Sus scrofa: one gene and its partner. The protein of the gene in region 1 interacts with the protein of each later gene in a biochemical or structural test. Links are inferred from orthologs where the notes say so. Each region holds a gene or a part of one and is shown on either strand. Other genes may lie near its edges. The genes, in order: MAGEF1 and NSMCE1.

Region 1 (10,088 bases):
AGTCATGACTAACCTGGGAACTGGGCAGAGTCAGCAATCAGCTGGTAGGATGGGTTGTGGGTATGGACTCTAGCTAACCACTAACTCCCATCACCCACTAAGCTTTCCTAGAGCTTCAGTCCTCAGAGTTTGGAATGCCTTGTTCAAGGTCACATAGTCATGACTTTTAAAAGGCCTTGATTGGGATACTTTCTGGAATACCTAACCTCTTTAGTTAGTATACTATAGTTCTGCTGGGAGGTAATTGTTGCCATCTCTGCTGGGCTGCAAAATTTGAGGAATAATTTGCACTAGCATCAATTGCCACCACGACCAAGGCATGAAGCCCAATTATCTCAAGTGGAAACTGTGATTGAGCCTGTGAATTGAGGCCTGATTTGCAGGGGCTGCAGGCAAATGAGCTGCCACCTTTGGAGCATCATGTACCTGCTAGTTGTTGGGGCTGTAATCACCCTGAGCCCATTGCCAAACACCCATTCTCCACATTTCAGTGGGTCGAAAGTCCCGACTCCTGGATGTCAAGATCCCTACAGAGTCTGTGACTGAACTAAGACCTTCTCATTGTCTAAGGCATGATTTGTAGTTTTCAAGGGAATTTCGTTCACTGGCTTTGCTTTCTAGTTGTGGTATAATAAGCATGATTTGGAAAAATCCATCTGCCCCAACAACATCTCTCTGCTCTCCCACCCACACGGTATTTCACCCAGGAAGATCTCATTATGTTTATGCCTGAAGGGGAAAGCAGCCAGCGATCCAGGCCTTCCCTCTCCCTTATGTGAATGACCATAAGCAGCAGGAGGATGCATCTCTTGTCCTTAACATGGCCAAGGTCTGCTCTACACACAGGCCCAGAGGCCACACTTTAAATATTTCTGAGAGGAGTTCCTGTCGTGTCTCAGTGGTTAACGAACCTGACCAATATTAATGAGGACGCGGGTTTGATCCCTGGCCTTGCTCAGTGGGTTAAGGATCCGGTGTTGTCATGAGCTGTGGTGTAGGTCGCAGACTCGGCTCAGATCCTGCATTGCTGGGCTGTGGTGCAGGCCAGCAGCTACAGCTCCGATTGCACCCCTACCCTGGGAACCTCCATATGCCTTGGGTGCAGCCCTCAAAAGACAACTTCTGAGAAGTTGATGATGACATCTGTGACATGGGAGGTCTTTCATCCTGAGGCAAGGGTCTGAGTTCTGCCAGCCCTTTGTAACATCTGGAAATAATGCTGGGAATCCTATTTGCAGGTCCACAAATGTTATTTGATTGTTTCATGGCATGAAAGACTAAGTCAAGGCTTAGCGGAGAGAGCAGACTAATGAAGACTGAGGAAACATGGCCTAAAAGGCAAAACATGCTGACTTTGAGCAAAATTACACATTTTACATGTAGTCAGCATTCTGAGAACAGTGAGGGTAAGCAGAGCCAGGACCGATGTTCACAGATAATTTTCCAACTTTATTTTAGCCTCCTTTCTACCCTCCTACAGGCCAATGTCTTGTCACAATTACCTTGGTTACACACCCTTATTTGTATCTCCAGAGAGACAGCCATGTTTAGAAGAAAGAACATGAGTCCCCAAGTCTGAAAGGATTCCCAAGAAGAAGGAAATGTAAAATAGTGAAAAGTGTGGGGTTTTGACTCAGATTTCAGTTCCAATCCTTTTGTCACACACTATCTATGAGAACTTTATGGCTTCTCTGAGTTTGTTTGCATAGTTCAAAATGGAACAGATAATATCTATCCTGTTAGATTGTTGTAAAAGTCATTAAAACATATGTTAAGACATGAAGGAGCTGGCTCACATTAGGTATTGGATAAATGGCAAGTATTAATATCTATATAATGGAGGTATTTTGTAATACCCTCTTTCAATATGGTTATGAAAAGTAGGGCCCATAGCAGATGTTGAAAAATGGTAGTTGTTAGTCCTGGCTTGCCACAAACTACATGTGTGACCTTCGGCAAAGTCACCTCTGCTGCCAGTGAAATGAGGAGTATTTCTACTCTGCTCCCTCCCATAAGGACTGCAGTGACAACTGGAGATAATTATACATGCCTCACTTGATTTTTGGAATGGTGATCAATAAAATCACATACAATATATTGGAAGTCAGACACAGGGAGCAATGGACTAGAATGAAACACACTGGGAGACAAGGGACTTGGGTTCCAGGCTTGGTGCTTCTTTTGCCAAGTGATCAGAGGCAAATCACCAAGTAATCAGACCCTTGGGTGCACACACTGCTGAGCTCTCAGCAGCTGTGGGAAAATACAAATGTGAGAAATTAATGCTATTGCTCCTTGAGGGTAAAGCCAGTTTTCCCATTTTAATCTCTGGAATCCAGTAGTCTTTGGCATATAGTGGGCACTCAGTATTTTTGTTTAATGAATCATAAGCTGCCCAGAAGTCATATTTTTAATCACTAGTAAACTTTTTTTACCCGTAAGCTCATGACTCTTGGTTTCAGTATGATTTGCTGGATCCCTGGGTCTGTGTCCCAAAGTATCTGTATTCCATGCTAACCTTAACATACTCAGAAGTGTTATTTACACAGAACTGAAAGCAGGAAAAAAAAAAAAAAACAGAAAAACAAAAAACCAAACAGCAGTAAAGAGAAGTGGCCCTTCTGAATATGGTGTCTGTAGGGGGACAGTTTCACAGTCTTCCCTACATCAACCTCTGGTTTGGTTACCACTTCCTCTAGGTTCCTTACTTTGTGAACCCAGAATTACAGGACTTATCCCAGAGTGAAGGTGGAGGCACTGCAGAGGCTTAGGCTGCTTTTGTAAATGATTCTTCGTGGGTAGATAAGGATGTGAAAGATGCCTTGCAGTTCTCCTCCAGATGGGAGATGGCAGGTGGTGAGTAGCAAGTAGAAAGATGGATGAGGGTGCTGGGCTTCCTGGTGCCAAAGGAGAAATCTTGAAGTAGAAGTTCTTGATAGTGGGGAACCCTATAGTGGGTGTACCCTCCACCCATATGACATACTATTCCAGAATTGTTATAATATTTGGTCTCTGAGGGTGCTGGTAGAAGAGGGAAGCCTGTAGAGGTTGCGATAAGAGAGATAGTGAAGACCAAAATGCTAGTTGTCACCATCATTATTTGCACACTGTAATAAATTGCCTTGGGCCAAGAGCACTGACAAGTAAGGTGTTTTCCAGATCTGCCATGTATCAAGTCTTCCCATGTTACTGATCAGCATCTATGATCTTAACCGCTTCCCACCCCCTAACTTCTTCTTTTCCTTCCCCTCTTCTCCACCCTTCCCACTGCTACACCAAAGTCCAACTAAAGGGAACCTCAGGCAAGCCTCAACCAATCCCCCAGCTGGGTTGGGTGGCTTTCTGTAGTCTTCAACTCACTGCACTGTAATTTCCTGTTTATTTATTTACTGTCCAGTTCTGAAATGTAGGACCTTTATCTTTTTCAGCACTCTATCCTCAAATACCCCCAACAGTGCATTACACAAAAGACACTTAACAAACATATATTAAGTATACCAGGTTATACTTCTAATTTATTGCATTCCCCCCCCCAGATACTATAATAACTAAGCAAATAGAGTTACATGTCAGTCTTTTTTCTTTATACAATACACAAAAAAGTGTTGCGAAGCTAGATACTAATCAGTTATTTTTTTTCTGGTACCAGATCATCATACTGCTGAGTTCCTTTAAACTACCTAAGTACAGCATTCACTGTTGCATCATTTGTTCAAGATCACAGAATAAAATGTTTTTCAATTCATTTTACAAAACCAGCAAAACTTTACAACAAAATCCTACAGGAAAAAGTATACGAATCTCATTTACAAACATCAATTTAACAGTATATTAAATGTAACAAAACTTAGCAAGATACAAAACCTAAATCCTAGTTACATAAATACAACCGCTACAGAAAACACGACCCTCCCCCCACCTATTCTACTTAGACTCAGTAGTTTTTGTGCCCAACTCCACCCACCCCCTCAGCCCCCCCCCCTCCGGCTGGCCACTCTTCCAATAGCCCTCACCAGCGGTGATTGCCGGCCCTAGCATTGGCTCTGGCCCTAGCCCTAGGCCTAATACTGGCCTCAGCTCTGGCTCTGTCAGCCTCGTCTGCCAGGGCCTCACGGTACAGCACTGGCCAGTGTTGGGGTTCTTTCTTATGGAGCTTGGCCACGAACCCCAGGACTTTCATCTTGCTGGTTTCCAGGTTGCTTCGGGGACCCCAAGAGAATTCACATTCCGGTGGGTTGGTGTGAGGCACACGCCTGTAATTGAGGTATCTCAGCTGCACGAAATCTTCCATAATAAGCCTCTTCGGGTACCCAAAGAGGAAGTGATATTTTGAGGGACGCACCCCCAACCGACGCAGCATCTCCCAGACCTGTGCCTCCCTGGCGCTATTACCTTTCATGTAGATAAGGCCCAAGATCATCATTAAGAGACCCAGTCTGGGGCCATCTCCTCCCAGATCCTCCTCCTTATCCTCAGGAGGTTTTAGTTTGTTCATCAGGATGTAAGTGTGGTGCTTGCGGTCAAGCTGTTTCAGCTCGAAACCAAAGACATACCGCAGATGCTCTGCGGCCCTTGCGATGATCTCGGGGAACAGATCCTTCAAGTCTCCGATAACATACTTCACCATCTCCGAGCGAGTGATGGGACTCTTCTTCTTGTCCTTCACCAGCAGAAACTGCACCAACTCGGCCACCGTCCGATCCAGACGGCGGCAAGCCCGGCGCCGGGCCAAAGTTTTGGCTGCCAAGGCCCTCGCACCTTTCGGGGTGAGGGCGGGCTCCGCAGCCCCTTCCTCCTTTACTGCGTCAAGGTCCTCCTCTGGGCTCTCTTGCAGGAGGGGGCTCGGGGCCTCCTCCTGCGAGACGGTCAGGGCCTGGGTCTCACCGTCATGGCTGCCATCCATCTCCCCCTCGACTTGAGGGACGGGGAGAACCCCGCTCTCGGGTTTCTGCAACATGTTTTTGCGCAGGCAGGTGCAAAGCGCGTACTCGGGCCGAGGGATGTGCAAGCCGCTGCGCAAACCCTGGCGGAAGGGTTGGACAGCGGCTGGGGCGCCTGGAGTAGGACTAGGAGAGATGACACAGGGGTTTCTGTGGCTGCTAGGCGGTACCGCACACGGCTCGGGACGGTCGCCGCAACGCCGCCGGCGCTCAAGACCTGCGCCGCCGCCGCCGCGCAGCCTCAGTGCGCGCCCGCCGCTGGATCGCCGTAACACTTCCGGCCAACTCAGCCAAGATGGCGGCCCGGAGGCCGGCGAAGCCCCTCCTTTTCCGGCTACCGCTGGGTTGGAGGTGCGCACCGGCTTTCCGGGATGCTTGGGCTGTGGAAGAGTGTAGTTTGCGCAGCTTTTTAAGACTGCAAAGCTGGAGGAGGATAACCAGGAATTTCTCAAGGTTTCAGTGTGCAAGAATGGAGTAGGATGGAGTTCTAGCCACGTCCTTTCAGCAGGCGCTTGATTCTAAGTGTGTGTACCTAAGATTTTGAGTAATTTACTGTGGTTCAAATGCGGAATGTAAGGAGATGAAGGCTGGGAGATAAGGCTGTGCGGGACGGTGCAGGGCCTTGAACAGGATGCTAGGCAGATTGAAATCTTTTCTGAGGACGATGGGAATATGCAACAGGAAGATTAAACAAAGGAGTGCCCAGACCAGATCTGTTATCTTTCCAGTCTCTCTGGGTGGCAGTGTAGAGAATGGATTGGAGTAGGGCTGACCAAAAACTGGGAATCCAGCTTGAAGTATTGGAGTATTATTTCATAGTGCAGAATAGGAACTAAGACGTGGCCTATCTTGTTCATTGGTGTATCAGTGCCTGGCACATAGAGGCACTCCATAAATATCGTAGAATGGATGACGAGGGAGTAAGGATAGTAGATTCTACAGGGGTGAAAGGAAGATGATAAACGATATATTGAAGTATAGCTGGCAGAAATAGTGACAGATTGGAGGAAAGGGGAGGTTTTTTAAAAAATGTAATCAAACTTAACTACTCCCATTACTTTTTCTTTTTGCCTACTCTACTCTGAGCTTTCTCCTAGTGTCTCTCCTCCCTCTCTCCCTCCCTCTCCAACTCCTCCTCTCCCTTTTCTCTCATTTCCTCCCTTCCCCCTCCCTTTTCCCTCCTTTCATCCCAGTCTCCCCTCTCCCTTCCTCCTCCCTCCTTCCCCTTCTCCTCCTCCTTTCCCTTCCCCTGCTTCTCTTCTCACCCTTCCCCTCATTTCTAGGATCAGCTTAAATTTCTCCTTTCCAAAGCCTTCCTTAGTCTCTGTGCATGGAAGTTATTTACTCCTATATCTGAATCACCGTAGAAATTTGTATTTGTTTAACACCCACTCATATACACCTTATTGTGCTCCAGGCTCTGTTCTAACCATCGTTCCAATATTAATTTATTTAATTCTCATTAAAGTAAGTACTCTTAGCACTATCCTCGTTTTATAGATATGTCTGTCCTATGAAATTTGCTATTTACTAGCTATGTAGTCTTGGACGAATTAACCTAAACTTCCTGTCCCTCAGTTGCCTTGTCAGTAAAATGGGTATAATGCAAGACAACATTGTAGAGATTATGTGAAGTAATGCATATAAACTAACACAATGTTTGGCATATAGTGTTCAATAACTGTTAGCTATTTTTTTGCATATTTGTAATGTGCTGTTACTGTGCTCATTTTTTACATGTATTAACTCATCTACTTCTCATAACAGCCCTGCTAGATAAGTGGTATTATTATCCCCCTTTTACAAGTGAAATAACACACAAAGAGGTTAGGTAATTTCCCCAACAGCACATGACTGAACCACTGTTTGCAATCATGACTCCAGAGACCATGCTCCTAACCACTGTATTAATAGATGTTTATTATTATTTCTATTGGTCTTACTCTGCTTCATATTGTAGTTATTTTTGTGCTTATCTTATTACCCCCCCAAACCAAACCTCCTAAAAGGTAGGGCTATGTCCTTAAGTCTTTCGAAGATCCCCTCAGTGTTGGCACTCAGGATATAATTGTCATTGAGTAAACAATGGAAAGCTTTACTTTTTTCCCATAGGAAATACTGTTTAAGTAAGTATCTGACAGGCTTTTCTAGATGTAATTATGAACTTTTCATTTTTAAAAACTTCTGAAAATATATACCCATTTATACTTTATTACTTACAAAAACTGAAAGTGTGTGAATGAAGCAGGAGGATGTTTATTATAGTCTAGCTTGAGGCTATTATTAGTTTCTATTATGCCAAACATTTTATGTACAACATAATTTAGTCTTTGCAAATCCCCATTAGGAAGGTATTATTATCCTCCTTTTACAAATGGGAAAACAGTCAGAGAGGTTAAATCACCTATCACCAACCACCCATCTGTTAAGTGCTAGACCGGAAAGGAGGATCCAGATCTGTCTAGTCTGAAGATTGTCCTCATGACCACCACGCTGGATGCCTGGTTATCAGTTTCCCCTGAAGGTAGAACCACTTCTGCCTAAAAGGGCATTGCTGGAGATAAACTAGGTTACTTACATAGCTTTCTCACTTCAAGCATTGGCAAGGAGATATGGAGGAGATAGAACGTGGAGAGGAGCATGCAGGAGATACATTGAATGGAAGGAATTTTTTGAGGGGCAAGTTAGCAGTATATGATTGGATTTTGAAAACTGAATGAATAATTTGTTATGCTATTCATCTGAAAAAAAAAAAAGGAACAAATTACTGATACAACATGGATGAGTCTGGCTGACATTATGTTGAGTGAAAGAAGAAAGATACAAAAGATTATATACAATATGATTCCAGTTAATCTGATGTCTAAGACAGAGCTAATTGTTGGTGACAGAAATGAGAACAATGGAGGCCTGGAGTGGGGTTGACTGGAAAGGGATATGCGTGAACTTTCTGGGGGTGATGGAAATGTTCTCTGAAAAGTTATAAAAAAGTTTTAAAATTGAGCCATAATTGACAGATAACATTAGGTTCAGGGGTACAATGTAATGATTCAGTATTCATATATATTGTGAAATGATCACCACAATAAGTCTAGTGAACATCCTTCACCATAGTTACAAGATCTTTTTTCTTGTGATGAGAACTTTTAAGATCTATTCTCTCTGCCACTTTCAAATATGCAATACAGGAGTTCCCGCCGTGGTGCAGCGGAAATGAATCTGACTAGGAACCGTGAGGTTTCAGGTTTGATCCCTGGCCTCGCTTAGTGGGTTAGGAATCCAGCATTGCCATGAACTGTGGTGTAGGTCGCAGACACGGCTTGGACCTGGCACTGCTGTAGGCTGGAGTAGGCTGGCGGCTGCAGCTCTGATTGGACCCCTGACCTGGGAACCTCCAGATGCCATGGGTGTGGCCCTAAAAAAGGACAAAACAAACAAACAAATACATAATACAGTATTACTAACCATAGTCACCGTGTAAAAAAGTTTTTAAAAAATTAAATGAATGGGTCTTTAGGTATAGGAGGTGATGAGGGGTATGTGCCTTGCCACTTACCAACCCCTAGATCCTACAGTGTTTTGTTCTGGAAGGGCCCTAGACAGTCATTTTCCAGTTTTGATTGTGCCGACCTCATACTGGGCAGGCAGATTTTAAAACAATTCTTACCTAAGTTGCTGAAAGGGAGGAAATGTATATCTCTTTGGTGGGGGTTGGGGGGATGGCAAAACAAAACCTTGGTGACTGTTAGCTGGAAACCTTCCTGAAGGATGGTCCTTTGTAGCCGAGACTATAGTCTTTGAACGCCTATAGTACTTAGTACAGTTTGGTATACGGAAAAGGACAAGGGAGTTATACTGGAAAAGTGGAACTGAAGGATGAATTATCATGGAACTGTCTAGCATTCTGGGTGTAGAAAATGTGTGTCCTCTAACAAAGCACCGAACCAGGTCAGAAGACCTGAGTTCTGGGTTCTCCCTCCCCATTCACTCGTTCTCTGACCTTGCACAGCATACTTAACCTCTCTGAGCTGCCGTTTCCTCAACCTTAGGCCTTACAACCTTAGCTTTGCCAGTCCCCACAGTTATTTTGAGGTTCGAGTAAGATTATAAATGTAAGCCTACTTTCAAAATGCTCTACTATGAAGTAACAAATATAAAATATTACAGAATTTTTTTTTTAAGTGATATGGTAGAAAACTCTCAGTAATGAGTGTGACTGGCCTCTCATGCAGACATTTTGGAATGAGCTCACACATTCCTGGTTGAAAAAACTGTCTGGCCAAAACAGATTAAATAAAGAAATGTCAAGTCCTGACACTCCAGCTAAGGCTAGTGGATGCCTTGGTGGGGAGCCAGAGCTATCTTGTTGGATTCCTTCTAAACTTGTCAATAGAGTCCTCCAAACTCCTGAGTGCCTTCTTCGCACAGATGCTGAGTGACATCCCAGCCTAGGTCCAAGTGAGCCCCAAACTGCAGAGCTGCTCCTGTCTTCTCTATTTCTCCTGACAGTTTTGACAGCCATGCAGCTGATCCGACTCAAAGAAGGGATCAGAGGAAGAGCTTTGTCCCACGTCCCTGGGCCAGGGGCAAAAGGGAGCCCAGTTTTGTCACAGCAGAATGGGCAGAGTGTGAAGCCATGGGTCTTGTATGTGTGGCGGGCATTGAAGCAGGATGGCCAGGCGGATGATTCGATCTGACTTGGGTAATGAAAATTGTTTGTTACTATTTGAAGAGCAATTGTGTAAGCAACAGTGCTTCAGTGTTTGGCTGCCTGTGACCCACCAGTGTCTGTAACTTAACACCCAACCCAGAGGAGGAACAGACCTTGGCCTGGCCGGGGAGGGGAGGGATGCAGGGGGCACGGGGCCCCGTCATCCCTCCCTCCTCCTCTATCCCACCCGCTCTCTAAACCTCGAAGGAGAGTTGGCGAGAAGGCATTTGCCACCTGGACACAATGAGGCCCAGTGCGAGGGGCAGGCATGAGGCTGGCTGGGAGCCAGGGCCCTGGTCTGAATGGCCGCTGTCGCCAAGGGGCTGCCAACAGCCCATCTCTATCCCCCAAAGGCCGCCCAGGGCCAGGGTGGGGGCCCAACAACCCCACCTCCGAGGCCCAGCTCACGCCATTCGCTGGCCGTGACCAGAATGCAC
Region 2 (10,219 bases), on another chromosome or scaffold:
GAATCCAAGCTGCGTCTGCAACCTACACCACAGCTCACAGCAACACTGGATCCTTAACCCACTGAGCAAGGCCAGGGATCGAACCTGCAACCCCATGGTTCCCAGTCAGATTCGTTAACCTGATGGGAACTCCAAGCCTGATATTTTGATAGTGACCTGAAGCCTATGTTTTTTTTGTTTGTTTGTTTGTTTTCCTCAATGGGCTCCAGGAACAGGGGCAGGAGAGAGGGCAGAACCGTGCAAATTAGCTGGTTTGAAGACTCGGCTTGGGGGACGCACCCATTTGGGGTTACCTCAATGCTTCAGGGGCAAGTCAGGGGTCTCAGTAGCGAGGGTTCCCAGTTCTGGCCAACTTCAAAAGGAACGTGTTGAGGGGATACTTGGGACAGGGACACCCAGGCCTGATTGATAGCCAGGGGCCAGGCTGGAGGGGAACAGGCAGGAGCCAGAGGACACCAGGGCACAGGAAGCAGAGCAGCCGCACAGCCACAGCCACCTTCCTTCTGTGGCGGCTGGGCTGGAAGCACCTGCCGGCGCCCCTTTGTCCCTTGCTCAGCTCGAGAGGGTGTCTGATAGGCTGAGCTTGGGTTCGGGGCCCACCCTGGAATTGGGTTCCTGGTGGACCTGGGATCTGGCGCCCTCGGCTCCCTGCCCCCTGGTTCTCTGGACGTGGGACTGGTTCTCCTACCACGTCACATGTGTAGGGGAAAGACGGACTCTGGGAGTGGGGCGGCCAATTTGGTTCCTGGACCAAGTGTGATGGGGACAGAAGTGCTCGGGGACTGTGGTGCGAGGGGGTGGCGGGGTCAGTGAGGTGAGGGCAGGCCTGCCCAGGAGAGGTGCGTGTCCAGGATGCCAGGGGCTCAGGAGCCCTGCCGGTTGGAGCTGGGCAGGCGGTAGAGTTGGAGGGGAGTTTTCTAGACGCAGGTGAGGTTGGACGCCAGGCGGCGGGGGCCCCTGCGGGGATGAGAGGAAGGGAGAAAGGGGTTGCCCAGAGAATCAGGCCGAGCTGGGCAGCCCTGCTGCTGGCCCGTGGCCCACGCCACCTCTGTTGCCCCTAAGAAATCAAGTGGGGGGTTGTTGCTGGGCACGAGAGGAGCTTTTTCCCAGGCAGTGATGCAGCGCAGGGCCAACACCCCCAGGCTGGCAGCGGATGGGCTGTGCCAGGGACGCTCGTGCGCGGGAGGGAAGTGAGCCCCTGAGGCAGGTGGCTGCAGTGAGGACCGTAGTAGGAAGTGGAGTTTGGTGGGGTTTTTTTTTTATAAGATGAAAAGACCTTGAAAACATTCACGTTTCTGAAAAGGGAGGCTGGACAGCAAACCAGAGGTGGGAAAGGGGGGAAGCGCAGGGCGGCTATTAGCTCATCTCCGCGCGGACCCAGTTTCTGGAAAGTCCGACGTGGTAGAAGGCGTTTGATCTGCCCACGGGGTACATTTTTCTGAACGACACCCAGGAGAGAGGCCTTTTCAGTGGAAAATGTGAATTCTCGCTTTCAGAGGGACGTGGGACTTGCCCCTGTGTCACAGGCGGGGTGGTTCTTCGCTGCCCGAGGGCCCCCGCGGCCGCGTTTCCCAGCCTCTCATTGGGTGTGGGGCAGGTGGAAAGGGGTTTCCAGCAAGCTCAGGGCACAGACCTGGACAGGCTGGGGAGGAAGGAAGCCTGACAGCCCTTCGTGCAAGGGCGGGAGGGACACCTTCTGGGCTTGCTTTCTAACTGGGAGGCAGAGGTGGGGGAGGTCATTGGGGGGCGCTCTTGGAGAGCCTCTCTCACTCCTCTGATCAGTTTTTCAGCAGATGTGGCTAGATTTTATCATCATGTTACTGTTAGGATTTTTTTTTTTTTTTTTTTTTGTCTTTTTAGGCTGCACCTGCAGCATGTGGAGGTTCCCAGGCTAGGGGGTCTGTCTAATTGGAGCTGTTGCTGCCAGCCTACACCACAGCCGCAGCCATGCCTGCGACCTACACCACAGCTCATGGCAACGCCAGATCCTCAACCCAAGGAGGGAGGCCAGGGATTGAACCCGCAACCTCATGGTTCCTAGTCGGATTCATTTCCGCTGCGCCATGACAGGAACTCCCACTGTTGGGATTTTTGCCACATCTGTGTACCATCTGTTTATTACTACTCTTTTTTTTTTTTTTTTTTTTTTGTCTTTTTTGCTATTTCTTTGGGCCGCTCCCGAGGCATATGGAGGTTCCCAGGCTAGGGGTCGAATCGGAGCTGCAGCCACCGGCCTATGCCAGAGCCACTGCAACGTGGGATCCGAGCTGCGTCTGCAACCTACACCACAGCTCACGGCAACGCCAGATCGTTAACCTACTAAGCAAGGGCAGGGACCGAACCCGCAACCTCATGGTTCCTAGTCGGATTCGTCAACCACTGCGCCACGACGGGAACTCCTACTACTCATTTTTAATTTAAATTTGCTTTTTTTAAAAAAAACATAAGCAACTTTACTTATAAAAGATTAGATCCCTGCTATAATTTGCATATTAGTACTACTGTTCTGGTCTTTGTCATTAGCTTTTCTCGGCCTCCTCAGTAGACACGGTATCTGTGTCACAGCTGTTGCCATAACACAGCTGTGACCTCCATTTGCCACCAGTGTGATCTTTTTTATTTTTTTAAACTTTAATAATTTTTTTTTTGGTCTTTCTCTCATTTTAGGGCCGCTCCCGTGGCATATGGAGGTTCCCAGGCAAGGGGTACAATCGGAGCTGTTGCTGCTGGCCTACACCACAGCCACAGCAATGCCAAATACAAGCTGCGTCTGCAGCCTACACCACAGGTCACAGTAATGCCGGATCCTTAACCCACTGAACCAGGCCAGGGATCAAACCTGCAACCTCATGGTTCCTAGTCGGATTCATTGCTGCTGTGCCACGGCGGGAACTCCTAAACTTTGATAATATTTAGGTAGGCAAGGCGCTTACAAGTACCCTTCTCCTTGAGAGGCCAACCAGATTAAGTTCAGATGCCCTGGGCTGGCCCCCTCACCCAGTCCCTTCCTAGTGATGGTGGGTAGCCTTGCTCGCCTGTCCCCTGCAGTATTATTTCCTGGGTTTTAATTTTGTTTTAACGTAAATGTTACATTGTTTTCTTGCCTTTTTTTTTTTTTTTTTAAGCTATTTTTTAGGGCCGCACCCACTGCATATGGAGGTTCTCAGGCTAGGGGTCAAATCGGAGCTTAGAGCCACCAGTCTACACCACAGCCACAGCAATGCCAGACCCAAGCCACATCTGCAAACTACACCACAGCTCATGGCAATGCCAAATCTTTAGCCCACTGAGCAAGGCCAGGGATTGAACCCGAATCCTCATGGATACTAGACGGATTTGTTTCCTCTGAGCCACAACGGGAACTCCCTTGTGGGTTTTTTTTTCTCCTTCAAGTGATTTTTCTAAAGCACAAATCTTTTGATGTTGTTTATTTTAACAACTAAAAACAGTAATAGATACTCTTGGTTTAAAAAAGTGTCATAGTACAGAAGGGTAATTCTAAGACACAAGATTTTTTTTCCTTCGCGTGATTTTTCTAAGGCACAAATCTTTTGACGTTGCTTGTTTTAACAACTAAAAACAGTAATAGATACTCTTGGTTTAAAAAAGTGTCATAGTACAGAAGGGTAATTCTAAGACACAAGACTGACATCTTCCGCCTCTGCTTCCAACTCAAAAGGCTCCCACTGCCCACAGGAGAAAGGCCACACGCTCCCCCAGCCTGCGGGGCCCTGCTCGATCCAGCTCCTGCTTCCTGCTGCAGCCTCATCGGCCCTCCCGGCCATCCTTCCTTCCTTCCCCTGCCAGGGCCCTGTCCGTCCACCCCGGCCCCCCTGCAGTGCTGGCTTGGCCTCCCCCTCCCCGGGCTCTGTCGGTGTCCTCTCTCGGATGGGCCAATGGCCCTGGGGAGGGGTGCGGGCTTCCTTGTGCGCATCCCTTGGCTTGCTCGAGTCCCGTTGTCGGGCAGCACAGGTGGCTGTGTTGGCGGGCTCCCCACTGCTCAGTCCCCCTCTGCGTCTTGGCCTCTTCCCTGAACCAGGAGGCTGCCTGTGCCTGCCTGGGGGGCTGTGGGCAGGATGGGTAAATTACTGTGTAAGGGAGTTCCCATCGTGGCGCAGTGGTTAATGAATCTGACTAGGAACCCTGAGGTTGTGGGTTCGATCCCTGGCCTTGCTCAGTGGGTTAAGGATCCCGTGTTGCTGTGGCTCTGGTGTAGGCCAGTGTCTACACCTCTGATTGGACCCCTAGCCTGGGAACCTACATATGCCGTGGGAGCAGCCCTAGAAAAGGCAAAAAGACCAAAAAACAAAAAAAAAAAATTACTGTGTGAGAAGCGCTCAGATTCGGGCTTTCCTGGGGCCGGTGCTCAGTGTGAGCTGCTGCTCTTACCCTGCAGTTGTCATCCTTCATGGTTGCAGCCGCCCCCCAGCACACAGGCCCGGGGCGTGTAAGTGCGCAGTGCAGGTTTGATTGCCGAATAAAGGGAGGAAGGCTAGAGGTAGCCCTGGTGCGTGCGTGAAGACAGAGCCTCTAGTCTAGGGAGGGGTCGTGCGGTGATGCCCACAGCAGGTTCCGAGCACACAGCCGTGCGATGAGGTGCTGAGTCGGGATGGTGACCTGGCCGCAGGGAACTGTGGTGGTGGAGCTGGTGGGGCTCAGCTACCATTTCCCGGCCCTTTTTCTTCACGGCTCCTTCCGTGTCTTTGCTTCAGGAAGAAAAAAGCCACAGGCCTTGGCGCTTCCCCAGGGGGGCTGGGCCTTCCCTTCGCCCATTTCTGGCTTCGCCGTCTCTGTTCAGGTGGATGGCGTGATTGAGTCAAGCTACAATTTTTTGAGAGAGCGCCCCCCTCGACCCTCCTTTTCTTTGGCCTTTGTTTTCAGGCAACGCTCCTGTTGAGAAGTTGGAGGACTTCATCAACAACATTAACAGTGTCCTGGAGTCTTTGTACATTGAGATAAAGAAGGGAGTCACAGAAGACGATGGGAGACCCATCTACGCGCTGGTGAGTGCGGACAGTGCCCCCTGGTGGCAGTAGGAGGGACTGCGGTCGGGAGCCCCGTGTCCTCTGTAGTGGGAAGTGTACCCACCTCACCAAGGGCCTGGAGGGAGAAGAACCCTGGGCCCAGCCGCCTCCCTGTCCTGGCCCATCTCCGCTCCCCACGGCCCCCGTGGTCTGTGGTATCTGTAGTGTCCTCTGCTGTCATCAGGGTCTGGGGTAATGGGAGCGCGTGCCCAGCTCTCAACCTCAGCGCTTGCTTCGCTGCCCCACATGGAGCCCCTGCCTGTAACCGGGCAGCATGCATTTGGTTTTAGTGTGTTTGCTGCCGGTTCTCGGCAAGAGGTCACCCCCAAATGAATGGGCCGTTAGAGCTACAGGAATAAAATGCCTTTTCACTTGGAGTGAGATAAAGAAGCTATGAGAAGGAAAAATGTGTGGGGGCCCTAAAGATGGAGACCCATATGGAGCTTCTTGTGGTTCCAGATTTTTCCCTCCCAGTTAGGGAACGAGGTGAAATATAGATGAGGAAGCGCCGACCAGCCCCCCTCCTTGGCTAGAGGACTCCTACCAGCTAGAGAGCAGGCTCCTACCAGCAGCCCCACACAGAAAGGGGCTCTAGTCCGGAGTTTCCCAAACTCTCTTCTTTGGATGAAAAGATAATGGAGTCAAATGACATGGCAATGCTGGGTTAGGTCCTTAAATCAGATTTCTTTACTGCCAGACTTCTCAGCGCCTTATGCATTTGAAGCTCCGTTAGCACGCAGACAAGTCGCCCAAAGTTAGCTGAGTTTAGAAGATACAGCACAACCTTGGGAGTTTTAAAATCTCTGAAAATTCAGCATATTGATGGGGCTAAAGATGTAAGCCTGTGATATAAAACAGGTTACATACTCATCCCTGTGGCCTGCTGCGCCTGGACGCGGGAGCTCCGTGACTGGCGAGGCAGAGGGAGAGGCAACTGGTGAATGAACGGCCTGACCCGCATGCTGACTTATTTTGTAGGTGAACCTTGCCACGACTTCAGTGTCCAAAATGGCCTCAGATTTTGCAGAGAATGAGCTGGATCTGTTTAGAAAGGCCGTAAGTACACTAACTCCCATTGCCCATTGGCCAGGCTGCTTCTGGGAAACTTGTGTCTTTCATCAGAGACGGAAACGATCATCTTAGAAAGATCTCAGGGAAACGTGCGAGAATAGAATGCGCTACATGTATGTGCAACTGGGTCACCATGCTGTACAGTAGGGAAAAAATTGTATTGGGGAAATAAATATTTTAAAAAAAAAGAAAGGTCTCAGGGAGTTCCTGTCGTGGCGCAGTGGAAACAAATCCAACTAGGAACCAAGGTGGTGGGTTCAATCCCTGGCCTCGCTCAGTAGGTTAAGGATCTGGCATTGCTGTGAGCTGTGGTGTAGGTCCCAGACATGGCTAGATCTGGCATTGCTACGGCTGTGATGTAGGCCAGCAGCTGTAGCTCCAATTTGAACCCTAGCCTGGGAACTTCGGGTTGCGGCCCTAAAAAGCGGAAAAAAAAAAAAAAGTCTCAGAAAGCCCACTGCAGGGGGATGTCACCAAGCACCCCACCCAGAATTCACAGTTGCCAGCTGATTGCTGGGGGGCGGGGGGGGGGTCGCCACGGCTGCTCAGGAAAGAAGAGCTGGTCTGGGTTTGAGCGGCAGCAGGCCTCCTGGGCGCTTGGTGCAGGTGAGCAGGTGTTACTGCTTAGTGCTGCCGTGTGGTCCAGGACTGGCTGCAGCATCACCCTGGAGGGAGCTTTCGAGAAAGGCCGGATCCCAGTCCCCACCCAGACTGTTGAATCCGAACCTGCATTCTGGGAAGGTCCCTCCAGGGTGATGCACTTGCATGGCGACATTGAGAGCCGCTGCCCTGTCACTGTTCACTGAGCCACCTTGTCGCTTACCTGGCTGAGCACCTGGTTAAAGACGGGGTTCTGAGTCCGGATGTGCGATGTAGTAACTGGGAGGTAAAACTCCAGGTCTGTGGGCTTCAAGGCTTCGAGGGCTGAGTCATAGGGTCATTCCTTTCTAAGCTTCCCCTGGGGACGACGAGCAGCCAGCGTTGAGAACCAGGCTCCAAGATGCCAGACAGGTGTGTGGGCAGAAAGCCTGTCTTCCCAGCAGCTCTGCACTGCTATGGGCAGAAGCCATAGGGCAGCCCGCCTGCCAGCCTCCCCCGGCCTGGCACCATGGGCACCATGCCTCTGAGGCCGCCAGGGGTGCTCTCCTGCTGCGCCCCCCCCCACCGGCTCTGCTTTCCTGTCACTTAGGCCAGCCTCGTGGTCTGCTCACGTTTCACTCTCAGCTTCTCCATCTTCAGGGAGGTGAAATGACCCTTCTTGATTTAAGGGGAGGCATTAAGATCATTCATTTGGGGAGTTCCCATTGTGGCTCGGTGGAAATGAATCTGACTAGTATCCACGAGGACACGGGTTCGATCCCTGGCCTGGCACAGTGGGTTAAGGATCTGGCGTTGCCGTGAGCTGTGGTGTAGGTCGCAGATGCAGCTTGGATCCCGAATTGCTGTGGTTGTGGCTGGGCCGGAAGCTACAGCTCCGACTTGACCCCTAGCCTGGGACTCTCCATATGCTGTGGGTGCAGCCCTAAAATAAAGACAAAATAAATAAGACTCTTCACTTGGGATGGCGTTACAAGAGTGACTGTGGAGTCAAAACTGAATGTGTTATGGTTTTTGATGCATATTATTGTTTTCCTGAAGGCTCCTAGATTTCTGCCTGAGATGTGAGTAATTTCACTGCACCCCTGTCGGGGTTGGTATCATTGCTTCAAAGTTATTTTTGCCGATTTAATAGATGAACGTGGTACCCGCTGTTTCTTCTAGCTGGAACTCATTATCGACTCCGAAAGCGGCTTCGCGTCTTCCACAAATATCTTGAACCTGGTCGATCAGCTCAAAGGCAAGAAGATGAGGAAGAAGGAGGCCGAGCAAGTGCTGCAGAAGTTTGTACAAAACAAATGGCTCATTGAGGTACCTGGTCCCACAGATTCTCCAGCTTGGCTCACTTTTTGGAGGGAATCATCATCTTCCCTCCCCAACCACCCTGGATCCCACGCGTGTCTGTGGAGCCAGGCCCTTTCAGGCCCCTCATCTGCTTCGATGCCCACAGTGACCCTGCGAGGAGGCCTGGAACCTCCTGGTCACTCCTGTGACCTTGTCCAGGGTGCCCCAGCTGGAAGTGGCCAGGCCTGTGACCCGGGTCCACGGGCTGGAGGCAGTGTGCACGCTGGGTAGGGGTACAGCGTGAGCACCAGCCCTGGGCCCAAATCCCGGTGCGGGTGTCCCCCGTGTCCTCATGTCTACTGAGGGGAGTGGTGGCATCCACTCCAGGTGCGTCAGGTGCCTGCTGCTGGCCCCTCAGGAATCGCTGTGACGGCACGGTTCTCAATGGCAGCATCACACTCTTCTGGACCCGTGCTCTTGGGTTCTTGCACTTAGATGGCGGCCCTTGAGGCGAGGAGCTGGAGGGAGCCGGGAAAGGTTCAAGCTTCTAGACGCCCTGCGTCTAGTTCTGTCAGCTGGAGCAGTCAGATGTCTCCGCTCTTTTTCCACAAACGCACCCCCGTTTCCAAGAAACCCAAGCCGGACGTGCTTAGCGCCGCCCTGGGTCCCACAGCCCTGCCCCTCCGCTGCCCATCTGGGCGGGACGTGCTCAGCTGGGCCCTCGACTTCCTCACTCAGCGGTCAGGCCCGAGGCTGGAGGCTGCTGCTGTGGTAACGCCATGCTTCACTTCCCTTCTGGGGAGAGGTCCCCTCTGGTGTGGTGACAGCAGTGCTCTGAGTGGTCGATCTCTTGGTGGAGGGGACCCCGGCAGCCTGACCAGAAATAGTCAGTTCCTGAGGGACTTTGCTGATGGGAGGAAAGGTCTGGCGAGGCCACAGCGGCCAGGTCAGGGGTGGCAGGTGGGGGGTGTGCCAGCATCTCTGGGCACGTCTGCACCTCAGGTCCTCCCGGCCGCCCTGTGACGACACGGAGCCCCTTAGCTCTGTTCCGTGGCCGAACCACGGCAGCCCCATGATCTGGGTGAAGTCCCACAGCCGGCAAGTGGCAGGGCCATGCTCAGCCCCCAGCTCGGGTGACTGCAGGTCCCTGTCAATTGCTTTGTCACAGTTTTCCTTCCTCTCTGGGGTGGATTTGGCAACACGGAACGTTCTGGGGCAGCTCGGGTCACAACCCCACGCTCTGTCCTCGGGCAAGCTCCCTGAGGGCCAGGCCTGCGCCCTCCTCGTGGCTGCACCTCAGTGCTCCTGAGGCCCTGGTAACTGCTTCCTGAACGGGGCGGGAGGATGGAATCCCAGAGGAACGCAATGTATCTAAAACATACCGAGGCAGTGACACCGGAAATCCTTGTAGATTGGGAAGAAGCGGTGTTTGGATGGGGGATCACGTTGCTGAGAACACGTGTCATCGTGTCATCCTCCCCCCGCCCACCGAGCTCACCCCCTGTGCCCTGCTTGGGGCCTGCAGGCGGTCGTGCATATCCAGCACGATGCTGTCACGTCACCGCGCAGGGCTGGAGGCTGTCCTTTGCTGCCCAGAGAGGGGACCAGGGAAGGAAAGAATGTGCTTCTGGGGGCTGCTGGGCTTGCCCTCGGGCCCAGCCTCCTGTCATCTCTGCTTCTTCCTCAGTGACATGGAGATGCTGGGGCCGCCTTCTCCAGGGGCGGCCCTGACCTTGGGGGAGACGGTGGCCTGGAGGCTCTGTGAGCTGAGCCCTGGCCCCCACAGCCCCACAGGCCTCAGGGGAGCCCCCTGGCTGGCTGAGCCCTCGGGCCTTTCGCGGACGAAGGAACAGGCCCGGTGCAGCAGAGGATGCGGTGGGCAGGCCCCCAGGTGCTCTGGCTTTGCTGCTGCCCGTGGCAGTGGCTTCTGGTCTCTGGGCCGTTTCCTGTCTGGAGGATGAGGACAGTGACGGCTTCGGGTGTTTCCTTCGTGAGGGCGGAGTGCTCTCTGAATGGTCAGCCTGGGGGTTGCCGTGAGTCCTGTGGCCCTCTGGAGGAACAGCTGAGGGACTTTGGGGTGGCTGCTGGCCGGTCCCCTGACCTGCCTTCCTGGGGCAGTACCTTGATCAGAGGGACCACGGCCTCTCAGAATGAGACTTTCCCCAGGAGCTGTGCTGTGCAGACTTTATTGGCCACAATGGGAGACTCACCAGTCCCTGGACAGGACTCTGCCCCGGCTCAGC

What was found.
Region 2: the proteins of MAGEF1 (region 1) and NSMCE1 form a complex in vitro, tested with the Homo sapiens proteins (2 studies listed by BioGRID). The link is inferred for Sus scrofa from reciprocal best matches to the Homo sapiens genes MAGEF1 and NSMCE1.

The regions. Positions count from the first base shown.
Region 1 is NC_010455.5:122,597,496-122,607,583, forward strand, and holds MAGEF1 (melanoma-associated antigen F1), read right to left. Parts: upstream 5,206-10,088; 5' UTR 4,958-5,205; coding exon 4,010-4,957; 3' UTR 3,489-4,009; downstream 1-3,488. UniProt on the Homo sapiens protein: Enhances ubiquitin ligase activity of RING-type zinc finger-containing E3 ubiquitin ligases. Proposed to act through recruitment and/or stabilization of the E2 ubiquitin-conjugating enzyme at the E3:substrate complex.
Region 2 is NC_010445.4:19,637,059-19,647,277, forward strand, and holds part of NSMCE1 (non-structural maintenance of chromosomes element 1 homolog), read left to right. Parts: intron 1-4,881; coding exon 4,882-5,003; intron 5,004-6,002; coding exon 6,003-6,080; intron 6,081-7,856; coding exon 7,857-8,003; intron 8,004-10,219. UniProt on the Homo sapiens protein: RING-type zinc finger-containing E3 ubiquitin ligase that assembles with melanoma antigen protein (MAGE) to catalyze the direct transfer of ubiquitin from E2 ubiquitin-conjugating enzyme to a specific substrate.